Linked DNA regions of Cricetulus griseus. The protein of the gene in region 2 purifies or fractionates together with the protein of the main gene of each other region. This does not show direct contact. Links are inferred from orthologs where the notes say so. Each region holds a gene or a part of one and is shown on either strand. Other genes may lie near its edges. The genes, in order: Ahcyl1 and Josd2.

Region 1 (4,531 bases), on a different chromosome or scaffold from region 2:
CTATTGGAAAGGAATACTAATTAATAGCAGTTGGCTTCTTGACCTACAACTTTCAAGTCTTAAACCAACAAGCCCTGTAATATCCACAGTGCTGGGATAGATACTCAAGGGTACAAAATTGGGTATCATTATAGTTGAATAATAAGATACATATGTTTTTACACATGTTGTACCTCAAACGAATCAAACAATAAATAAAAGCTGTCAAGATAAGTACACTAGGATCTGATCTTATTGAGAAGCACTGAAGTCACCTATATTCTTTGGCCCTAGGAATGTCCTCAATTCCAGAAGGGCCTCAGAAATGGGAATGATCCAAGAGTTACTTGGTTGAGTCAAGCTGGAATCCTCATGGGTGAAGGACTACACCATTTGAAATAGGCCTTTTTCTCACACTATTCAGTACCATGCCAAGTTCTTTTCCACCCTAACCTTTCCCATAGTTTGTCACATTATCACCACATGGAAGAGGTACACAAGTGACCTAAGTCATAAGTCCAACTCAAATTCTGAGGGGGAATAAAAACAAAACAAAACAAAACAAAACCAGATTACCTAGAATTTACTACATGACCTTGACTGGTCCATTAACTAAATAAATACCTTTTATCATCATTAAGGGAAGGGCAATTAGTCATCATAATGCATTTTAATACAACGTAAATGCCACACAATAAAGTTCAAAGAACAAGATTAATAACAAGGAGACATACATACTAGCAAATGGAAACTTACAACAGGGTCTTCCCACACTCCTGGCAGACTTGCTTATTTTAGCTAATGGGAGTCTCTAAAGTCATTAGCACTTGGCTTCGCAATAATACTCATTTGTGTTATTCCTCTCAGGAAGAAGAAAGGAAAGGGGATATTTACTGCTTGTTGGCATTTGGCATTTCAGTTACTGGTTAGCCAGATTGACAATTAACAATTGAGTACTATATGCAAGGTACAGAGTTAGGTTCCAGAGATAAAATGGTAAACAAGAATCCTTGCCTCTAGGAGTTTACAATGTATAAAGTATACAGTTTACAATGTATACAGATTTTGGCTTATCAGTATTGGCTTGCAAGAATATAGTTACACTGAAATAATGGAAAGGAACAATAAAAATACTCTCAAGTATTTAGATGAAAGGAGGTGGGTTTATGGTAAGAGATAAGAGTCAGAGGGATTAGGCTATCAGATTTTCCTATTCTTTCCCTTAACTCATCTGAGGTACTATGCTTAAGCATTTTGCTTGTAAGAACTCTGTGTATCCAAATAGTGTAGATTGCAAAAGGTCACTTCTTCAGCAAAGCAATCAGAGGAACCAGAGCACTAAAAATGAGGTCAACTGGCTCCCTTAGGATCAAGGAACCTTCCATAACCTTTTAAAGGCACTATTGGTAGAAATCTTTTAATTTTGTGAGAAAACAGAGCTGAAGCACACAGTGATGACTTCTCTTTTCTAGACCTGTTTTTATTAATTTCCTGGAAGAGGGGGTGTTGGGATGCCCTCTCAGGTGCTTAGAACAGCTTAACTAGTTCAGGTGCGGGAACCTGGGGGGGGGGTTAACTACCCCTGCAAACCTTGCTGTTTTGAATTTATACCAGACCTGAATCCCAGCAAATACTGTAGGCACGGTTAGCTTTGAAATGACTTTATACAAGAGGGAAATATCTGTCATGTTTTTCATTGGCTTTAGGAAGGTCACCTCTTTGCAAAGGTTCTTTGGTCTACTGTTAACTGGGTGCCAGATAAGTGGAAAGTCAAGGAATGTTTGACAGAAAGCACAGGGGATCTCAATCCCACCAACTGAGAGGGCTAGTTAGACTCAGCCCTCCATAGATTCTCTTTCCCAAGAGCTGTAGAAGGATGTCCTTTGGGCTGCAACCCACAGCACAATAGGCTGAACTTGTTCTGCTTCAGTAAGTGCAGTAAAGAATGAGCAATCATTTCTTACCACCCACCTCTCCAACCCACCCAAGCTTCTTTCTGGAGGGATGTCTAAATGATCTATTCACATGACTGGGATCAGCCTGCATCCATGACAGTGTCTACTGTCACCAACCCCTCAATTTCCCTTTCTCTCACACTTCCAAGCAACTGGAAGCCTGGAAGGCGAAAATCATTTTGACTTTCAATTTCTTGTTGCTTTTAGAGCCTTCAACCAGTTCATACAGTTTTTCCTCTTGCCTCTAAGCTATCACGCAGTTGTTGGTTAAACGGCCAACGCTCCCCAAGAGATGCCTTGAAAAAGCGCTGCCCGATTTCCCCACTTACTTAAGGGGAAATTTCCTGTATACCCTCATCCCCTGGAGAGGTCACAGGGGTCAGCTGAGTCGTTCACCCCCTCCCAGTCTTTTTCTCAAGGCTCTCCATCCAGGAAAAAGTCAGCCGCAAATATAAGGCCTGGCCCTGCCGGGCTTCAGAAAGATCCAGGAGGACTCCGGCCGAGGGACAAAGAAAAGCGAGGTCAGAGCGGCCTCTTCGGCCTCAGATAGGCCCATGGCCGCTCACCGGCCACCCCCTACATCGTGTCAGTGGTCCCCGAGCACCCTAAACCTTAGCCCGAAGTCCCGAACTACCCGAGCCCGGGCCCGGGGCTTGCTCGCGCCCCTTCCGCGAGGGCCCCCGCCGCCACCCAGAGCCCCGCACCTTCTTGGGAGCCTTGGTGACTGTGGCCATGAAGGAGTACTTCTCAGCGTCCTCGATCTCCTTGGCCTGTTTCAGCTCCTCCCCGACACCGGGCAGCGGCATCGCGTCAGGCATCGACATCCCCCGGCCGGCCCGGCCCGCGGCTAACCCGCCGCCCCCGCCTCTTTCCCTCACGGGCGCCCGCCCGTCCGCGCGGCGCCCTCGGCCACGCGCTCGCCCGCCTTCCCGCCAGGCCCCGCGCCGAGCTGCTGGTGCTTCCGAAGGGCTGTGACCCGCGCGCCTCGTCGGCACCGCCGTACAAGACTGCCGGACAGCGACGGCGGCCACAGAAGAACCAGAAGCAGCAGCGCGCAGCTCCGACTTGCCCGCGCAGCAACCTCCGCCGCACGCAAGCACGCACGCAAAGTAAGGGTAGAGGGCGGAGACGCCACGTCAAGTACTGGCAGGCCCAAGGAGGGTGGGGAAAGAGGCGGGGAGAATTGGCGCAGTCTGCTGATGTTACCACGCTGGGCCGGGCCACAAGAACAGTCCTGCCTCCTTTCTTGCTCCTGGGTGATGAGCTTTCCAGGGCGACTTGTACCATGTACGCCGCCAGGTGGTGCCATCAGCCCTGTTGAGCCCGGTGTGGTTCCTATAAGGATGCCTCAGGACTGAGCGGCCTTGGACTACCAAATGAATTCCCCAGGAGACCTTGGGGTAGGGAGGTGGCCCGGGACAGGAGTGGGGTGGGGGACGGAGGGGAGGGCGTATAAAGAGCGATGCTTGGGGCCATAGGTCAGAGTCCCACAGGACACATCTTAGGGCCTTTTCTGGAACAGCCTTCTCACTCGGCCCACACCATGGCTGGACCCTTTGGACCAGAAGCCCATTTCCAAGGGACAGTGTTTGCTTTTTGACTTCATAGGGGGCAGAACAAGCTGAGAGCAGTCTGGTTTCTACCCAACCCTTTATGACCTCCATCACTATCTCCTCCTGGGCCTTGTCTGTTTACAAGACCTTCAGGCTGCCGTGCTGATGTCAAGAGGTCATTAAGATAGGGTTGATGGATCAGAAGGTAGAGAACTAAAGGCAGATTGAGAAAAGGTCGGGCCAAATTGACCCTCCTGCTGCATGCTCTCTCTGGACATTAGTCTCTGCCTGCCAGCTCTACTCGGAGTGAGCATGCCATGAGTGCGTTCAGTAGCACTCTCACAGTTTCTACTGTGTACGGTCCCTGTGTAAGGCCCTGGATGGCAGAGGTGCCTGTGGCACATTTATGGTTTCCAAGAATTCGTCCATTTGGAGAGGGAAAGCTTGTTTGTGTCAGCTGAGGTAGTTTGTCCTTTGAACATCATTCAAATGACATTGGCTCCAGTTCCTATGTCCTGTGGAAAGTACAATGTTGTCCCCAGGATTTCTGTGAATTACTGAGGGGACTTAGGTTTTGATGGTCACCCTTGGCTCTAGTTTGCTGCCTAGTCTGAAATTTTATTCACTATTCCAGTCTTATGACTGTTTCTTTAGCTCTTGGTGTCACATCAGCCTGTTCTCTTTCCAACTCCCACCCCTAAACCACAAAAATGAAGCTATAATATGTAGCAAAACTTTTAATGAAGGTTTGTGGGTCACAGGGGAGAGGTTACATCACATAGCAAACAGTCTTCAATCACATTTCTGAAATGTTCCGAAAAGTTATTCCAGCCATCTCATCACCTTGGGATTTCTCAATGGCCACAAAATCCCACAAAACTCTAGCATCCTACACATCCAGCTGCCGCCTGCTCCCTTTTCATCCCTTTCCTTCACCCTTCTCTCTTCCGTGGATTCAGAGAAGCCAGATTCTTCTCTACTGTGTTCAGAGTAAGTCTTCCCAGGGACCTTTCTCCTAAATTCTTCTCCACTACTCTTTCATAT
Region 2 (4,500 bases):
CACAGCATGAGGCCCCAGAGGCCCTTGGATACTGCTTCCCTCCCCAGAACAGCCACTCACCACCCACTGACCTGTCACCCTCTACCTGTCAAGTCCAGCTTTGGTTTTGTTTAGGCAGGGTCTCAGGTGTCCCAGATATGCACCACTACAGCAGTTCATGGGGTGCTGGGGATGGAACCCCAGCCTCATATACATGCTGGGTAAGCGTTCTGCCAATGGAGCCCCAGCCCCTCAACGTTTTGTTATTTGCCTTTTTGAGTCAGGGTCTCTATATGCAACCCAGGCCAGCTTCCAATTCAGTTTTGCCTCAGGTCAACAGGCTGGTCTCACTACTCTTAACCCCATTTCCTCAGTCATGAGTCACTCATGTCACTTGGACCCCCCACAGAATACCTTTCACTGGTACCAAGTTTATCAGTTTAGCTCATCAGTCAGTCAGTCAGTCAGTCAGTCAGTCAGTCAGTCAGTCCCCATTAGCCAGAGGCTCTCTGGCAAAAACCTCCCCCATCTACCTTCAAGTCACCCTCTGCTTCATCCCACAAACCCAGGGCCAGTGTAGCCCACAGCCTAGGCCCTACCTCCTCCTGTCCCACCACACAGCGGCCAGGCCCAGGCCTTGCAGGGCAGCCATGATCACGTTGACATCATAATTGCCGGTGCCCAGGAGGCTGCGATGAGGGTTCAGCCGGGAGTCTGGGGCCAGCCTGGGGGTGAAGGGGGCAGAGCCAAGGTTGGGAATCCTGGAAAGGCCTTCAACTTCTCACACAGCAGGAGAGGCCCAGAGCCTGGCTTTTGGCTCTTTCTCTTTAAGCCCCACACAGCTCATTGGGCTCTAAGCCCTGTTTTTCCTCCCATTCCCAACACCTGTACTCTCTGCCTAGCTAAAGTTTTTGTCTTTTTCCACTCAGAAACCCTTCCCAGTCTCTAGTCTCTCCATCCGATCCACCTCCAAAAGCCTTGAGCTGCCTGCCTCTCTCCTACTCCCACCTCTCCCATGACTCCCAAGTGCTCTGGACAAAGTCTCTGCCCTTCCATCTGCCCTTCTCATCATGGCCTCTTTCCAGACCAGCCTCAGATGTCATTTCTTCTGGTAGAGAAGCCATCAAACCCCCAGAATGGGCACAGAGCTCCCCTGAGTGACAATGCCGCTCATGTCACCATATTTGAATACAGAATGCCTCTTTCATTTGGCAATACCCTGCCCTACTCTGTTCACAGCCCTCCCTGGTGCCCCAAATCCCGGGGACAGACTCTCACCTCCTCCAGTGGCAAGTGGTTCTTGCATAGCCTCAGCACCAGCTCTTACCAGCCACCTATCTCCAGCTGTCCCTGTGCCCAAGCCTTCCCTCTAAGCTCTCTCCAGATGTGACCCTGTTCCTCTGAAGAGCTGGCCCCTTGGAGAGCAGTGACATGGAGGGAACCACTTGTGTTTGCTCTGTGTCCCGAGCCTTCTCCTCACTACATCTGCCTTAGCTCTAGTTGTTCAGCATGCTCCTGGCATGACAGAGCTGGTGGCAGGGGGATGGATATCTCCTAACATAAATCTACAGTCTGAGGGTGCTGGCTGAGCAGCAGTGAGAAGATGTGAAGGCTGCCTCTGGATGTGGACATGAACTGCAGGCTGGGGTGTTGGCGTATCTGTGAAAGGATTGTGGGGCCTAGAAGTGGGACTAGGAAGAGAGTTTAAGAAAGTGATGGTTGAAATTCTGAAGGGCACCTACGTGACCAAGAAGAACAAGAATGCCTGGGTAAGAGCTCAGAATCACCACAGTGGGGTCATCTGGGGCCAAGGAGAGTAGTGAAGGAGAAGCTGCAGACTGGTAGGCAAGGACCAGAGCACCCAAAGCCTTGGAGTTCAGGCTGAAGGACCTGGGCTATTCTCTAGGAGTGCCAGGGACCCCCAGAGGAATAAATGCAGAGGAGGGGGAAGGCAGCTGTGGGGCTGTGTGTAGGATGGTCAGGAGGAGAAACACAGACAGCTGGGAGGCTGTGACAAAGGCTCAGATAAGAGAGGTTGAGGCCAAAGCTGGGTTGAGGCTGTGAGAAGCAGCAGGTGGAAGGGCAGACATCAGCTCCAGGATCTGCGCCCCGGCCTTGTTAGTGCCCAGGCAGGCTCCCATGCCCCTCAGCCCTGCTCTTCCAGGGCCAGGACCTAGGGCAGTCACCTCTTGCAAATTTCATCTGCAGCTTCCTGGCTAAAGAGCTGTTGTTGGAGGACGTTGTTGAGAGCGTGGACCGCGCACAGCTCTAGCCGCTGCCGCTCGTGGTACACTGAGGGTGGGCTCGGCCGCGCTTCCGGGGCCTGAGACATGCCCTCCTCGGCTCCTGCTGGGGGTGGTACAAGGAGAAAGTGTTAGGGACCCAGGATCTCGGCCATCTGGGTCTCCAGACTCCTGTGTCCCTGGGCAACAGCCACTGAGATGGGCACTGGAGCCAGCTTGGGAGGAAACGACCCAGCTACCTAGGCTGTCTCCGAAGCGTAGAGGCATCTTTATGCCCTAGTCCTAGGGGGAAAGGGCTCTTTTTTGCTCACTTGGCAATAGAGATCCACCCCCACTTCATGTCTCTAAGCAAAAAAAAGTCCGGATCACTATAACCTAGTAACGAAGTATCGCCCCTTCTGTCCCTAGGAAACAATACCTTTTTGGTTCCCAAGCAACAGAGTACTCCCCACCCGCTTGGTAACCGGTCCGATTTCTGATCACCTAGCAATGGAGGACTCCTCCTTCCCCGTCTCTGGGTAACAGGGTCTCTTCTGGTCGCCTAGCAACGAAAGACTTCCCCTCATCAATAACCAGGGTTCTCTCCTCCCGTCACCTGGCAACAAGGCCCTCTCCCAGTCACTAAGCAACAGGAGCTCCCCTCTTCCTGTCACCTGGCAACCAGGCACGCTCCCACCCGCCTCCGCACGGCACTCGCTTGGCCCTCACCCCGTCGGCCTCTCTGCTCGCTGGGACCGGCCGCTTTCTCATTCCCTGGGTAGCGGCCGAGTGGTACCACGCTGACTGGGCAGGCAGGACGGACTACAGCTCCCGACCGCCCGAGCACTCCTGACTGCAATTCCCGAAGGCCTCCGAGGCGCCTAAATAGGACGCGCGGTACGGAAGTCCGCCGGGGACGCTCTGCAGCGCGGAACTACAACTCCCGTCGGACCACACAGCCAGTTTTCATGCACCCCCAGGGCTCACTGCAGTCTAGAGGTTTCTGGGAAATGTAGTAACTGGGGCTCTCGCGATAGCTTCCAGGAAAATGGTTTGTGCGTATGCTCGTGCGCTCGCTGCTATGGCGTCACACACAGTGTGTTGAAGCGTGATGTAATAGAGTTAGGGGATAAGGAACTAAAGAGGCCAAAGAGAACAGCCGACAGAACTCTGATGTTTACTGAGACACACAGTGGTCGAGGTGACAGCAAGGGCAGCGGGGGAGACTTGTCAGCAGAGGTGAATCCCAGGTCTGGAGGGGAGCTGGCAGCAGCCTGTGGGGAGAATGAAAGACTAGAATGACCACACAGACATGCAAGCAGCCATGGCGGCCGTGGGCTTTGAAAATGATAGTGTAGTACAACCCAAAGAGGATACTCAGAAAGAGATGTGGGGTGTGGATGCAGAGACAAGAGGGGGGCTGAGACTCAGAGAAAAAGAGAGACCTGGGAGAGAAAACTAAGGATGGGCAAAGACAGACAACCGGGGTGGGACATCCGACATGTGAGTTCTGCAGGGCACAAAAGTCAAGGGACTCTTGGAGAGGTCTGGACGCACCCAGTAGGCTGCCCCAGAAGGCTGTGACAGTAGCAGAGCCGGTGACAGCGCCAGGCTGGGCTGGGTTCTCTCTGTGGGTGTGCACAGCAAAGCTGTGGCCTGTGGGCCCTGGGGGGCCTTTCAGCTCCACGTCCACCACGTGCATGTCTTTGAGGCTGCAGCCAGCGGAGAAGGGTAGTTAGTACATCTGGCCTGTACACAGGTGGGCCACTTACTTCCGTTGCTCACCTAAGGTCAGCCACAAGCACCCCAATGACACGGTCGAAGCCTAGACTGGGGGCAGCCAGGGCAGCAGCTGCCATGGTGTTAGAATTTCGGGGGGCCAAGGGGCAGAGCCCACGCACAGGGCCCTCGTAGAGCACTGTGCGCGGCCCACTGATGTGTGCTGCAGCCAGGGACCCCTCCAGTCGGAAGCCATCAGGATGTGTGGCCATGGTGACTCGAAGGCTCTGGAAACAATGGCAGGGTCAGGAAGCTGAGACTCTTACATGTTCCCTCAGTTGCAGCCCATATGGTTCTCACCTGGAGGCCTCCCGATGCATCCAATCTCCTGATGTCTTCAGTCCCCCACAGGGCTCCTCGGGCCACAAACACAGTGTGGCCCCAGCAGTTTGATGCCTCCATGAGCTGCTGCTCTGTGGTCTGGTCAGCCAGAGCTGAGGGAGACCCCACCTTGGGAAGTATGGTAGAGAGAGGGAAGGCCAAGACATAGATCATTGCTGTGTGGTGGGATGCAGCCAAC

The links.
Region 1: the proteins of Josd2 (region 2) and Ahcyl1 purify together in Homo sapiens (affinity purification with mass spectrometry; 4 studies listed by BioGRID and IntAct, counting the BioPlex papers as one, with this or other methods). This does not show direct contact. The link is inferred for Cricetulus griseus from reciprocal best matches to the Homo sapiens genes JOSD2 and AHCYL1.

What each region holds. Positions count from the first base shown.
Region 1 is NW_023276806.1:49,463,707-49,468,237, reverse strand, and holds the start of Ahcyl1 (S-adenosylhomocysteine hydrolase-like protein 1), read right to left. Parts: upstream 3,020-4,531; 5' UTR 2,759-3,019; coding exon 2,639-2,758; intron 1-2,638. UniProt on the Homo sapiens protein: Multifaceted cellular regulator which coordinates several essential cellular functions including regulation of epithelial HCO3(-) and fluid secretion, mRNA processing and DNA replication.
Region 2 is NC_048599.1:153,334,804-153,339,303, reverse strand, and holds the start of Josd2 (josephin-2), read right to left. Parts: upstream 3,024-4,500; 5' UTR 2,973-3,023; coding exon 2,931-2,972; intron 2,818-2,930; exon of another isoform or gene 2,764-2,817; coding exon 2,706-2,763; intron 2,329-2,705; coding exon 2,166-2,328; intron 705-2,165; coding exon 579-704; intron 1-578. Other genes in the region: Aspdh (putative L-aspartate dehydrogenase), read right to left, coding at 3,024-3,135, 3,393-3,475, 3,703-3,913, 3,987-4,207, 4,281-4,430. UniProt on the Homo sapiens protein: Cleaves 'Lys-63'-linked poly-ubiquitin chains, and with lesser efficiency 'Lys-48'-linked poly-ubiquitin chains (in vitro). May act as a deubiquitinating enzyme.